Oreochromis niloticus: one gene and its partner. The protein of the gene in region 1 purifies or fractionates together with the protein of each later gene. This does not show direct contact. Links are inferred from orthologs where the notes say so. Each region holds a gene or a part of one and is shown on either strand. Other genes may lie near its edges.

The links.
Region 2: the proteins of ube4a (region 1) and ubxn4 purify together in Homo sapiens (affinity purification with mass spectrometry; 3 studies listed by BioGRID and IntAct, counting the BioPlex papers as one, with this or other methods). This does not show direct contact. The link is inferred for Oreochromis niloticus from reciprocal best matches to the Homo sapiens genes UBE4A and UBXN4.

Annotation. Positions count from the first base shown.
Region 1 is NC_031979.2:20,134,141-20,141,366, forward strand, and holds the start of ube4a (ubiquitin conjugation factor E4 A), read left to right. Parts: upstream 1-4,040; 5' UTR 4,041-4,180; intron 4,181-4,314; exon of another isoform or gene 4,315-4,544; intron 4,545-6,612; 5' UTR 6,613-6,668; coding exon 6,669-6,798; intron 6,799-7,226. Other genes in the region: si:ch211-235m3.5 (BICD family-like cargo adapter 1), read left to right, coding at 566-805.
Region 2 is NC_031987.2:33,063,020-33,070,982, reverse strand, and holds the start of ubxn4 (UBX domain-containing protein 4), read left to right. Parts: upstream 1-4,824; 5' UTR 4,825-5,121; coding exon 5,122-5,206; intron 5,207-6,156; coding exon 6,157-6,259; intron 6,260-7,719; coding exon 7,720-7,748; intron 7,749-7,963. Other genes in the region: nmi (N-myc-interactor), read right to left, coding at 555-620, 717-755. UniProt on the Homo sapiens protein: Involved in endoplasmic reticulum-associated protein degradation (ERAD). Acts as a platform to recruit both UBQLN1 and VCP to the ER during ERAD.

The DNA of each region.
Region 1 (7,226 bases):
ATAGTTTTTCTTTTTCCTCCTCCTCCGGCTGCTCCCTTTAGGAGTCGCAACAGCAGATCATCTGCCTCCATCTCACCCTATCCCTAGCATCCTCCTCTGTCACACCACCCCTCTGCATGTCATCCTTTACCACAGGGGTGGGGGAATTCTAGGCCTCAAGGGCCGGTGTCCTGCAGGTTTAGATGTATCTTTGATCCAACACAGCTGATTTAAATGGCTAAATTACCTCCTCAACATGTCTTGAAGTTCTGCAGAGGCCTAGTAATGAACTAATCATTTGATTCAGGTGTGATATCTAAAACCAGCAGGACACCGGCCCCTGCTTTACCACATCAATGAATCTTCTCTGAGGTCTTCCTCTTTTCCTCCTGCCTGGCAGCTCCATTTTTTTTTAAGAGTCAGTACTTTGTTGGTTTTCTCGTGAGACTTAATGATAACTAGTTTGCTTCTTTAATACTACGACTCTAGTACTAACATGTTATCTTTGACAATCACGGGATACCAGACTGAGTCCCGGCTCCTAGGACTTGCTGCTCATTTCCTCTTCCTCCCCACCTTTCCCCAGGATGACATCCAGATCTTCATCAACCAGCAGCTCAAGTCCCAGCAGCAGTTGGAGCAGCCTCAGAAGAAGCCCGCCTCCAACAACAGCATGTCATTCTTTCGCAGACCCAGCAGGACGGCCTCCACGTGGTCACGCCAGTCGTCGGCTTCCTCCTGGAATTCAGACTGCGATCAGGACAAAAACCAATCCCCGTGGAGGGACTGGTTAAGACGGGGCAAAGGGGTGCAGTACAGCAAATAGTGAACACTAAGTGCTAGAATGCTACTGGACTACTGTGGAGCAGATGCACCAAGAAAAAAGGTCAAAGGGAACTCACTAGTGGAGCTTCTTGTACATCATGTGAAGGAGAAAAAAAGCCATGAAGACAAACGGAGCCACTGGAAACAAAGACTGAAACACATTTCACTGAGAGGCTGAGCCTTCTCAAGACGTAGACTGTGACAACATTTTTACAGGATTACAATTGAAGGTTTAACTGTAAATATCGCGCCCTATTTTGAAAAATGGTGAATAAGTAGCTCAGTGAAAGTATTTGTTCATGTAATTTAAGATTTAACACATCAAAGAGAAGGATGTTCATGAAGTAAGTGATTAAACACTACATTTTTGATTGTACTAAATTTGTCCTTACCATGTTGGATATAAGAACTTATGTTTGTTTTTGTTTTTTTGTTGTTGTTTTTTTATTGTCAATGTTGCGTCAATGTACGTTTTCTTGTACATGAAGAAATCTATTATTTTTATAATTTTGTTCTAATAGTTCCAGTTAAAAAATCAAACATGTTGTCTGAACATTGATATGGTATGCATCTGTGGACAGCAGAAACTCTGTTTTATGTGAAGCACTGTTCAGTATTGAAGCTGCTTTGTACAAACTGACCACGTCTGGAAAGACTGACAGAAAGTTTCATAAAACATTAAATGATCCTCAGTCAGGTCTCATTTTTCACCACTGTTTGTCTTCAAAACTCCATGATGAGTGAAAAGTTATTTACTGAAGATATTCTGGCTTTAATATGGGAAAAGATGCAAGATTAAAGACAATACACAAATATGGAGATGGGGTAATCTGTTAGGAATGAAAAGAGGCTACATTGAAGGAAATGAAAATGATCAACCTACAGAGGGCTGAAGTCAAATGTAGCGACTTATAATGTGTCCAAGGATTTCATCCTGATGCCTAATGACAATCAGGGTACCGTTGCTTAGCCTGTAGAGGTCTGTGTCCCTCTCCATGGATATGCCTCCCCAGATAATCACTGACCCACCACCAAACCGGTCATGGTTTCTTCAGTTTTCATGTCTGTCACATGTGCTCAGGGTGAACCTGCTTTCATCTGTGAAAAGCACAGGACACTGGTGATGGACCTGCCAATTCTGGTATTCTATTGCAAATGCCAGTTGTTCTCCACAGTGCCAGGCAGTGAGCACAGGGCTCACTAGCAGGTGGGGGACCAGGTATCGCTTCATGCTACCAGTAGAGACAACAAATCTAGCCAGTAAAACCATTCCCGTGTTGGGGGTTGTCTCACTGTTGCCTCTCTAGTGCATCTATTGGTAATTTTGTTAACACCACAGCCGCTGAAACTGATTAACCACCCGCCACCCCCACGCTACTTCACTGATCAAATCAATATCCCAGAAGTTTAACTGACTTGATTAATACTCTGATGAAAGTGTTTAATTCTTTGAGCAGTGTGATAATCTGAAATGGGCTTCTAACAATAGGTCTGCTGCTGCCCTCTGCTGATGGCCAGCAAACACTCCAGGCTTTAGTAGAAGGCAGATCCAGTGTGTCAGATCCTGTCATAGCTGACAGGATCTGACACACTGGACAAACTGCAGCTGAAGTGCTAACAAATACGCTAATGTGGTTACAATTAATTCAGTCATGTTAAATAACTGCAAGTCATCCTTAAATCAGTCAGCTGAGGTTCTATCAGTTTCAGAGTTGCACATGTTCACTGACTATAACACTGCTACTCAGAAGTGCTGATTTATTAAAACTCTAAAAGCCATGTAGTTTTGTAAATGTGAAAACTTACAGGGTGTTCCTGGTGTCAAGAGATGGGTAAATTATCATCAGTGTTTGAGGTTCCTGAACTAAGAATAAAGCAAAACCAAACACGTGCAACAACAACTGCGTACTTCATTCAAAATTAATGGTAATAATGGTCTTATTAGTGTGGGTAGAAGACTTACACTAATACTGGATAATACTGTATAGGACATTGTGAGTCTCTGTCTGCTTTGCAAAAGACTTTAATTTAGGTTCGTGTTGGGTTTGTTTGGATAGCAGCTCTGTGGGAATTCATGGAAATTAACTTGTGCGTAAATATGTAAAATGAGCTCTGAGATCAGACGTCATAAACAAATCCAAGTAATTTAGTAGGAAAAAAGTGGGAGAGTCAGTTAAACCACAAAGACCACAACTTCTACAAATGAGAAAGACTCAGTTTGTAGTTTTGTTCAGGTTGCATCTCATTCTGTTCTGTTTACATCTTTTTGCAGTCATTCTGCATCTTGTGACTGTTTGTGTGTTTATATTGCATGTCTGTTGCTGTGTTGAACCTCACTTGCAATGATTTTATATATTTTGTTGTGCATTTTGCCTGTTTAATTGGTTCCTCTTGTCCCCTGTTTCCTCTCTTTTTTGTAGAAGTGTCTTTCTGCTGCAGGGGTTTTGCCAACCATAAATCACAACTTCAGTTTATAATCTCAACATTTTGAAATACTTGACTTTCAGTGTTGAGCACAATGATTGGTTCACACAACAAATCCCACCTTTCAGCTTTTCATGTATTTTCAATATTTTTTTCATTTCCCCCCCAAAAAATAATTAATTTAACTTAGAGGACAGAAACAAAGTATTGATCTTATCACACTAATATCAAACCAATACCAATACCGGCTCTGAAAAGATATCAGAAAGATTTACTATAGATTTTATAAACTGTCAAAACGTGTAGAAGAAAGAATGTAAAGTTTAGAAATAAATAGACTGAAAACAGGTGTTTACCACCAGCAGAGTGCTGAAAAAACGTCAAAACATCAAAAAATTTTAACTTACTAACCCAAATGTCTGAGAAAATAAGTTGGAATTGAGAAAATAACTTGAAATTCCAATTTTAAGGCCATTTTTTTAAGATAATGACTCAATTTTTTTAACTTATAGATGGCAAAAAATAAAATAAAATATTATTTTTCTCTGTGGTCTTTCTCTTTTCCTCCTGCCTGGGAGTTCCATATTCAAAATCCTTTGTCCAGTACCACTCGCAGTCTCTTCTTCACCTCTCTTGTGCACCCACCGCTGATTTGTATGATTGAGCCCAGATATTGAAACTAATACACATTCACAATGTGTAATCCTTGCGTCTTCGCATTTCCACCTCCCCTCTCATTAACACACACATTTATGAGATCGAATAAGTGAGTTAAGAAATTCCCCAACGCAATAATCACTCCTGACCGAACGGTGGCGCCGACGGACTGATACAGCTCGCAGCAGCCGTTTTAGGAAAAAGAAGAAAACGTTTACTATTTACTGAGGAACTGGCATTGGTTTCGTAGAAGCAATTTTAAAAATCAAAATACACATTACTTCTCGTCAAACAGGTACGACAGCCGTCTTTATCGTTTGTATATATTATTTAGGTTGATAATACCTGAAACCCTCATTTGAGTTTATGAAATTAAAGTTGAAATCGAGCCTTGGTGACCCCATGACAGCTCAGCTTAGCAGCAGCAGCACCAGCAGGGCGGTCAGGGCTGCTAGCTCCACCTGCTAGCTAGTTAGCACAAAACCGTCAAGCAGCTCATCTTCTGCGCACTAACACGGCTAACAGGTGATGTGACTCTCTCAGAACAGCGTAAAGGTGACTAGCTGCGAAGCTGTCTTCGTAAAGTGGCGAGAGTTAAAGCTGTAAGGTGCTGAACTGATAAACCTGACTACGCACAGTAACTGTAATCTGCGGAAGAGGTGAGCTCTACCTAGACAGGCGGTCAGTCCATATGTTACTGTTACTGTTACTGAGTTACTGTTTGTCGTGCTAAAAACTTTCTAGCATCATCAGAAAGTAGGGCTCAGCAGACAACGACCTTTTTGTCCCAGGTTATCATCTCACGATGTCTAATGCACGTGGAGATACACTCTATTTTATAGTAATAACAACAAGTGCCCATTTAGACAGCTTATCATCTTCTCTAAACCTCGTTGATCCGTATTGTGTTACTTTTATAGAGAAAAAATAGTGACTACAGATTATTTAAAGACATTTAAAATGCAATTTGAGGGTGCAAAACTTTAATATTCCAAAAATAGAGTTACAATAAAAGTGAACTCCTTCTATATGGTATCTGTCTGATAGCACTGCAGTATTGAAACAGCATGCAGGAGTTAATGTGTTGAAAGCATTTGCATATAAGTACTTGTTTTAGGGTTCTTGTGTGTGTCGATGAGAACTTGCAAAATGCAGTGTTATTGTAGACTAAAATTCATCTGAATTAGTACAGATCTATTCAGTTTAAATAGGGGGTGGGCGATATGCCCTTAAAAATTATGTTATGATATTTCAAGAACATTTGCTACTTCTTCTTCTTGAGGTTGCTCCCTGTAGGGGGAAACCACAGGGGATCATCTATCTCCATCTCACCCTATTCCTTGCATCCTCCTCTTCCTCTGTTACAGTAGCCATCTGCAGGTCCTTCATTGCATGCATGAAACTCTTTTGTGGTGTTCCTCTTTTCCTCCTTGCTTGGCAGCTCTATGTGCAACACCTTTTATCCGATATATCCACTATCCGTCCTCTGCATATGTCCAAACCACCTCAGCCCTGTCACTCGAAAAGTGTCTCCAAGCCACTCAGTTTGAGATGCTGAGTATTTCAAGACAGTTTGCAGTAATGATATTTATGATGAAAAAACAACATACTAAATGTTTTATTGATGCTTGCAGTCAGGTGTATTTATAACTATAAGTAAATAAGGGCATTCTTTGCCCTTGTTTTGCATTGAGTTCCTGTCACTGATGATGTACTACCTAATTCAAAGTGTGAATCCACTGAAACAAGGTGCCATGATTATGTTTGGGTTTCACATCACCAGCTGCTTGAATCTCTTCCTTTATAGTCTGGTAGTACTTCACTGTGTTTTTCCCTCAAGTGGTGAAACAAGTTTGTTGTTTCCACCTTAAGCAGGAACAGTCTTCTTGAATATTTGGCTTTGTTGGAGCTCCAGTTTTACTAAATTGTCACTGGAGTCTTACATGCAGCTCTCATATACAGTATGCCTCGACTTGTCTCATTGTTGTGTGTGTCAAGGAGCTTAAAGCCATAGCATTGCTGTAGGAATAATATCATTATATTACACGTTTATATTAAGTAAAAAATTAAAAAAACATGTCCTTGGTGGTCACTAGCAGTTTTTCTATGTAGGAAATTATTGCTGTTTAAATGTAATACACTGAAATATTTACTACTTATAGTATTTAATAACTCTATTACCTTGTAAAGATGAAAAGAAAGTTATGATGGCCATTCAGCTGTGAAACTAAATACACTAAAACCAAAAATGTTACGGAAGCCCTGAATAGTAAGGTGTTATTTTAAGCCAGTGTTTGCAATTTAACAACTTAAGATTAAAAGGAATGTTAATTGTGTCATTTTCAGAATATATTTGTAGGGAGAGATGAGGGAGGTGCAGTGTATTACAAAGGTGCAAAAAGTGCATTTAACTTAGCCTCCAGACAGTCACGTGACAAATTAAAACAGAGCTACTGGTTCCCTTATGGCTCTGCCTTCTTTAATAGTACTTGAGGTTGTGCAACTGTACCCTGAAGGCAACAACGTGCTGACAGTAAAACATGTTGAACTTGAGTGTGCTGGACAGATGAGTTTGGTAAAGTGGCCAACATCATGAAGATCTGCATATTAAATCAAAATAACAGTGACCAAACTAAACAAAAATACACTTGTTTGTGTGTGATGATGATACTGTTCATTTAAGTGTGTTGAAATTGCCATCTGCTCTTTTTTTTGTTTTTTTTAAAGATATTCAGTCCCTAGAGCTGGGATCTTGGATGGAGTGAGTGTTGAGCCCCAATGAGATGACTGACCAGGGCAACAACAACCAGAACATCTCCCGCAACCCCTTTGCTGCCCTCTTCAGCTCACTGGCTGATGCCAAACAGTTTGCATCAGGCCAGAAACCTCAACAGCTTTCTACTCAACCACCACGTGAGTAGAATGATCACATTTCATACAGTATAAGAAGGAGTCAGAACATATCTGAAGTAGACTGATTTGTGTTGCGTGTTACTTTGGACACAATCCCAACTTCTCCTAACGTTGTCTGGAATTAAAGTGTGTAGGCGTTGAGGTAGATAATCATAGGTCACGTCCTTTTATAGAATCCAGCTTGTCTGAGTGTGCTGATATGTAAAAGTTGATTATACTCTGTTGTGTGGACAGCTGCAGACACTGCTGATGACTAGCTATTCCTGGTATACGTTAATAAGTTCAGCTTGAAGTCCGCCCAAGGGGCACAGGTGTAGTTAATGCACATTGTAATAGAAAGTCTTTACAGATGAGTCCACACTATCACAAAAAAATTCAAGAATGCATCTTTCTGCTTACTGCCCGATGACAACATTTCTATCAGTAGA
Region 2 (7,963 bases), on another chromosome or scaffold:
TGGGCCCATTCCATCTGACTTTCAGTTGCTGAAGCGAGCTGCTTTACGGTTTCTCCCTGTTTACTGCAAACCTCAGCTGCAAACTGCATGTTCTGTGCAGCCAAATATAAGTAACCATTTAAAGTTTAATCTCAAATGTGTAAATAAAATGTATCCCGTGATGTCTCAATGCTAATAAATTATATCAATGAATATTATGACATTTATTATAATATGGGCATTTAGATAGACTCTTTCAGGCTTTTCAGTCCAGTGCGTTTATTTGTAGAACATACTTAGTTCCGGGCTTGCCTTTACGATGCAGGATTGCATCTCGACTTAAATAAGAGATCTGAGAACTGTAATTACTGTTTAAATCACTCAGATCACTCACAGTACTGAGTAAACAAACCACCTTCTTCTATAAACGGAGAATGAAGACACTTCCGGCTGAGCAGTTGTCGTTTTCCCATAAATGTATTTTGACGATTGGATCGTGAACTTATTTTACTATTGAACTAAAACACTTCACGCCTGAAAATGGAAAATGTAGTTCAGCATTAGTTCCGGCCTACCTTCCATGCCTCCAACTCTCGCTTGGCCTCCTTCAGTTCACCGTCTTTATCCAGGCCTCCTTCCTTCTGCCAAGAAAGAATGGCATCGTTAACAACTGTGGACCACTTGTTTCTTCTTAGACGGACTAAAACAAACAAACAGACGAACACATTATTACTCACCTTATCATTTAGCGAGCGACTACCGAAGACCTCAGCCATGGTCTGAATGACAAAAAAGAAACAGATATGAAAACTTCACTTGGTAGCTACGATCCAAAAATCAGCCAGCTGTGACTGCACTGCCTCTTTTTTGAGTACTTATTATTTTCTGTCGAAGTTAGAAAAGAAACAAAGTGGCCCTGTTGTGCCGGAAACAGCTCCAAATCAAAAGTGAAAGTTACAGCCTGGTGTGACGAGCTTCCCGGTATGGAAGACCAAGTGTGACAAAAGTTCACAGTCAAAGAAATAAATTAATAAAAACATCTCGTGTGTGTGTTGGAAGCTACTGATTCTTTAGATAAAGGAAAAAACACGCAATTTTCTGGCTAAAAATATGCATGAAATTCTTAACCCATTTAATTACAAAAACAAACAAACAAAAATATTTTTAAAACAAAAAACGATTTTACATTTTTTTTGTATGTGTATTTTATTTTAAATAGTACAATATGTTACCAGCACCTAAAAAATCCATAGACGGGGGGAACGTGGAATGAAACACAAGAAGCGAAACATGGGAAGAGAAAAGAGAAACAAGACACAAGGACACACACGCACACATAAACACAAACACACAGGGAGGGACACAGAGGTCAAACACTATGGTGTTATTTTTGTCTCACTATTCTGAGAGCACGTAAAAAAAAAAGTACAAGTGTTGCATTTTGAGGAGAAATTTATTCCTCTCGCTCAGGTTTTGCATTTGCTCTTGCTCAGATCTCTGCGGACCTGCTCTCAATGTGTTGCTCGCGCTTTCAACATCTCTGCCCCTGCACGTTCAACTCTTTCTGTACAGCATTATATTTGTGCCACAAAACCAAAAAATCACAGATTTGGATGCAAAAATTCTGATTGGCTGCTTTAGTTTCTCCATTCAGCTCGCTAGCTACTGTAACCAAACCCAGGCAAATATCCCAGTATGCATTTCGTCCAAAACTCAAACAAGGCATTTGCAGAGGAACGCAGAGCGGCGGAGTTTGAAATATTACTCTTTCTGGATCACAAAATAAACTTTTAAGATATTTTCAGGCTACAAAGCAGGCAATATAAGAATAAGAAACTCAGAACAGACTAAACTTAAGACTACTAATGAACCTAAAACATAAACATAATACAAATTAACACCAAAACACAAGAAACTCAAAATGCTGGGTCAACATGACCCAGAACTCTCAGGTGACTACATAATGAAGAGAAGGCCAAGGGTTTGCAGCACTCAACAAAGCAAAGGGTGGCTACTCTCAGGAATCTCAAATATAAGACATAGTTAGAGTTATTTATCAATTTTTTGATAAATAACAACAAAATTATATTTGTATCACTGGCTGTTATGGGGAGACCCTGGAAACTGTTCAGAGAGTCTTTCCTTTATTCTGCTCGTGCTTCACACGTGTGCTGCTTCTGCAGCTCCGGGCTGCACTTTACAGCACAGTCTCTTCTGGTAAAGCTCACGTCTGCTTCTCCGCTGCCACAAGGGAGGAACAATGTTGAAGTTCTTTTCAGAAGTAATCGATGTTACAGAAGTAACAACAAATAAGAAGACGTCAATAAGCTCATCTATTTCTGCTCAGAGTGGCACAGTCTAAAGAAGTCAGTTTCCTGGATGGTGATGTGTAAGCAGCACATATTGGAAGTTACTGTGAAAGCAATGGAAGGAAAACTGAAAAGGTAGCAAGTCAAATGCAGCAGTTCAGTTCAGCTTTAGTGGTGTCTTTACACACTACAGGTGATTAAGTCATGGTCAAAGTCAAAGACAGCTCAGTTCATTTCATGGAAATCCCAGTATTACTATCATAATCAGTGGAGCTTGCCTCAAAACCCTCATTATAAAGACTGAGTGAAAAGGTTTAGGACAGAGTTTTGGCACTGTGCCCACAACTTTGAGACATCTACACAAAGTGCTGACTACACCCTTTCTCTTATTACACTTATTATTACAGGTTGTGTACCTGCTGCTTTAGGCAGTGCCAGTTTCTCATGAACCAGTTTCATCTGTAAATACTGAGTTAATGTTTTTAATACTACCGCTTGGATTTATTACAGGTGCATGTGTAAAAGAAGCAATACCCCACCTGCTGTGGATTGTGAAGACCAATTTAGACCATTCAATGACTCAAACACTGGAATCAAAAGTGTAATTAAATAAATATTAGATTGACGAATAATCATCTTATTCAACAATTACTGTCATACAGATGAGAGAAAGCAAGAAAAACAGAGACTTGTGGGTGAGCTCCATTAACTCATATCAGCAGAGAGAGAGAGCGGCACTCTGTGCTGTACATTAATTATAATAGCTTAATAAAACTCGCCTCTGCTTTCAAGGACAAAATAAAACAGGAGGAGTCTGTTCTCTGCTTTCAACAGAAAGTGTTATTTGCAGCATTAGTGACTTCATCATCACAATAACCTGTTACTCACATACTGTGTCACCATAAGTAAAATATTTATTCTGTAAAAATAAAATCTAGAAAAAACCCACAGATGACATGACAGATTTTTCTTTTCCCTTTTTTATTCACTTCAAATATCTCATAAACAACAGGAGGCCGCAGGTTCACTATAACCAAAACTTCTGATTCAAACATCACATCAGTGTTACAAGATACAGCAATAGAAATTTAAGGAAAGTTTCTTCATGGTTCAGAGGTTGCACAGCAGAGTTGAAAGATGGTGTGTGAAATGGACTCTTACGATTGGTCAGAATTAGCCAATGAAAATGTGAGAAATGTGAACTTTTTACAAAGAAGGAAAACACATTTCATTTAAATGAATATTTTTTAAATTAATTAAAAATAAAAGCGAATGTTATGCCATCTTCTAACTTTACTTGACAGTGTGTAGAACAAACCTGATAACTCCTAGAAAACTTAAAAATCAACCAAACACATCCAGTCTTTGAGGGCTGTGAGCAAAAACAACACCAGCTGGAAGCCTGTGTGGTTATTACAGTAACCACAGCAGTCTGCTCTCTGTATGTATTACTTTATAAACTGACTTACTGTAAGCAACACAAATGTTAACAGAGAGAGAATTTTGTTGAAGCACACTGTTTATTAGGATCATCACCTGCTGTCTTTAACAGTCTCAGTATTGTTCTTTCTTTGTTTGTGTGGGAGTTTCTCCAAAACATGTGCTCATCGCCATTACTGACAGTCTGGTATTGTAAGTAGTTCTGCTTGGAATTGTGCAGGGCTTGTCTGCATCAGTGTTTCACAGAACAGTATTATCAATATATGGCGATAGTCAAATTGGCCAGCAGATGTCACTGTGGACATGTGTTTCCGACTGTTTCGAAGCCTCGACCGGCTGTAACGCTTCGAACATTACGCTTTGTTTTGTTTTCATTTTTTTTTTTAAAGAACTTTATTGAACAAACAATGAGTATACAACATATAAACAGATGAGGTATACAAGAGAAAAGAACACGAACACACAAAACCAGGGGAAAAAAATAACTATATAAATACACGCAAAAATTCACATATATGAATTGTTTTAAGAGCCTTTTTGTTGGTGGAGTCTGATATTGAGTTTATGTACAATTCTACATCCTTAAGAAAGTGACAGAAATATGGTGTTTTATTATTAAACGTAGATTTATGGATAAAACAATTAGCTAAATGTATTAAGAAATTTATTATATAAAAAACATTTATCATTCTTCTCGGGGAACTTAAAGAAACAGAATAAAACATTTTCCAATCGTAAAGAAAACCCCCTCAAAATATGGACAATAACAAACCAGCTAAATTCCTTCCGGAAGCTCTGTGTAGAAGAACAGTACCAAAAAAGGTGTGTCACAGTTTCTGGATGATCCCCACAGAAAGTGAAATTAGTATTTATGTCTCTTTTAAATACGTTACGTTGTTTCACGAAGCCGTGCTTTGCCCATCACTATGGCAGTTACTTCGGTGGGTGGGCCTGGACCTCCCATAAGCCCGTTTTTTATTAAATAAACACTCTTTGCTACAGTTCATAACCACTCCATTACTCCCCATTATTCTTTAGAATGTAACTGTGTTGATTTGACACATGGATGCAATGAACAAGAGGAGAGGTGATTACAGATTTGCAAAGTTTAGGGTCAGGGAAGAACAGGAGGAGACTCTTTTCGACAATAATTTATTAGCATAAAGTCCGGATAGCAATGATACGATTGTGATTAATTAGTGAAACTGGAGGAGGCAGTAATGCAACACTTGGGGCGCTAAACAGGGGAGAAGAAGAAGAGAAGCTGACGCTGCAGCCAGCTGATATGCGCTGGGAGCGGAAGTAGAAAGTGACAGGCTGACTGGGCTTTAGGTTTGGTTAGCCTAGCTGCTCGTCTGTGTCTCCAAAGCAGAAACACAGAACTCAACTTGCAATGATGTTTTGGTTTCAGGGCTCAATTCCTGATGCCATTAAATCGGCTAAACAACGGAGTTTGGTCTTTGTCGTTGTCATCACAGGTAACAGTTGAAAACATGCGGAAACTCTATAGAGTGCTAGCCAGTTAGCGTTGGAAGCCATTGTAGCCATTAGCTAATTAGCATAGTCAGTGTGTTATGAAAGAAGTCGTCATATGTATTTGATGAATACCCACCGACAGCAAGAATACAGAAGTCTAGTAACGTATCTATGGTGTACAGGGTCTGTCGGCGTAACGTCCTGTGCAACAGCACCTGCTGTCCTCACAGCTGAACCGGGCTGACGTAACGCTAGCGTTAGTTGTTTGCATTCCGCAGGCCAGTCCGAGGATTTCATAAATGAGGGACAGTCCGTCCACCTGCAGAACAGTAGCTGAGTACACTTACTTGGCCAGCCTCAGCGCTACATCACAGTATGACAGGGCGCTGTGGAGCAAAAGGAGCTCCACATAGTCAGCATGGTTCACGATATGCCGCATATATCTCTGTGTTTTGTAATTAATCAGAAAGCGAGATGCAAAAAGAAACATTTATGGAAAGGATTAGGATCGTATGTAAAATAAATAACGAATTATAAAGAACTAGACTCATGGCATGGTCTCCTTTAAATAGCTCTCTACAATAAGTCTCAGCATCACACTGGACCAGATATAGACAGTGTTAGTAGTATACAACAGTGTATGGATTTTGATCTGAACAGATGTTGTTGAGCATGAAGCTGACACAAAGTGACAAACAGCTTCTGTTTTCTGTGGAGTCAAAATCTCTGGTTTTGTGCCTCCAACCTGGCACAGTTGTTTCTGTAATACATCAATGCATCACAGAAACACTGAGAACAGAGGAGAGAAAAGTGGTTCCCAGATTACGCAGAGGGACGTTACTGTAAGAGTTGGAAAAGATGAGATCTGCGCTTCTTTTGCAGTTCCATCAGTGAAGCTGGACCCGTAGTTTTGACCACATGTCTCATCAGTTTCCTGTCACTCTGTCCTTAGGAGAAGATGAACAGTCAGCACAGCTGATGTCCAGCTGGGAGGATGACAGGGTCTCAGAGGCGGCCCAGAAATGTTGCGTGGCCATCAAAGTGGAGGCCAAGAGGTAAAGATGTGTTAGGTAGAGTGATTTTAGTTGAAAGTAAACTGTTAAAGGATGAACCAAGATTTAAAGTTACCTGCATGGAATTAACTGTACATAAAATCAACAATAGATTGAGGTGTACTAGCAAAACCTGCTGTGGCGACTTTAAAATCACATGACATGGTGCTTCATGGATGTTTGTAGATATGATTTGTTACACATCATTTAGTTCCAGCTTCTCCATATTGAATCAGTTGTACAGGTCTGTCTCTTACTATAATGACCATGACGTAAGTCTGTGTGTACCCTGCCTCCTACTCATCGTGTCGGCCATTCGGAATTAAACTTTGCAGAAACATTGTGATACATACAGCGATTATGAATGTTGATTGACGTAGCATGATTTATTGAAATAGAAAAGTTAATGTATTTGGCGATTAGACCCCGTTGATCCATCATAGCAGAACAGAATCCCAGCAGTGATGGGATTTGGGACAGGACCCCCTGGAGTCTAGACTCTGGTGGTGGTGAAGATGAAGACTGAGGCTTGGGTGGAGCTATGGCTGAGGTGGAGATAGGGAGGAGGTTGGTTGCATGGACGAGTCTGTTTAAGCCATGCAAAGCAGAGGCTAATTGGCTCAAAGAAGATGGACAGGATGATTTGACTAGAGTAATGACACAAGTACTGAGCTTGACAGTGTGGGGAAAGTGGAAGAACAGAAAAGCAGGCAGGTGACTGACCTTATTGAAGTTGTGGATAAACTTCATCTTTTTAAAAAGATGTGTTATAAAGTCTTCTGTTACCTGTTCGTAACTTACCAGTCACCAAAAATTGTATGTGCCGTGGAATTTTGTGTGAGTCACCACTAAATGAAGAATGAAGAGTTTGGAAAAGTGTTGATCATTGTGGGTTTTTGACATTCATGTAAAGAGGATCACTTTTCACACCTTTTCCTCCCTGTGTCACCAAGCCTGTACATCCGACTTTTAATGGCTGCTTATTTAATTCAGTTACTTTACTACCTTAATGTATATACTCTAGATGTATATGAGAAGAGCAGCAGTTAGCATTTCCTCCACTATTTTTAAAATGCTATGCCTCTCTTTAGATTTACTTCTGCTTGTATTACCATTAGAGCGAGACAAGTTATCTGTTGTCAACAAAGTTTGTAAAGAATTTGCCAGATTGAATTATCTAACAGTTTATCTGCATACACACAGTTTTTATTTTGACCTTTTTACCCCTCAGCCGTCAAAGGTGATTGGGTTGATTGATTGGGCATCGTCGTTACCTTGCTTTTCTCTTAGAATCAGCTCCCAGGTTTTGCAAACTGCTGCTGCTACTGTAAAGATCAGCCCTAAACCTTCCTCGATCACGCTGTCAGTCTAACAAGCATTTGATGTAATACCTCTAAACAGAGATGTTAATGTGCTTGCAGTTAAACCACAAAATGTTTCAATGATTTCTTCTTTCCCCACAGTGACACGTGTGCACAGTTCTCCCAGATTTGTATCCTTCTGTTGTGCGAGGTTTGAGCTGATGCCGCAGTGCTTACTAAACTTATTACTGACTTGTCTTTGGGAACTGGGTGTCTTGGCGGAGCCTCACAGCTTGAAGGTTCTGACTTCGAATCTGATTTTAGAGCTTTCTGTGAGCACGTTTTGCTTGTGTGGCTTTTCTGCAGGCTGCTGTGGCTTCCCCTCACAGTTCAACAACTGAAGTTC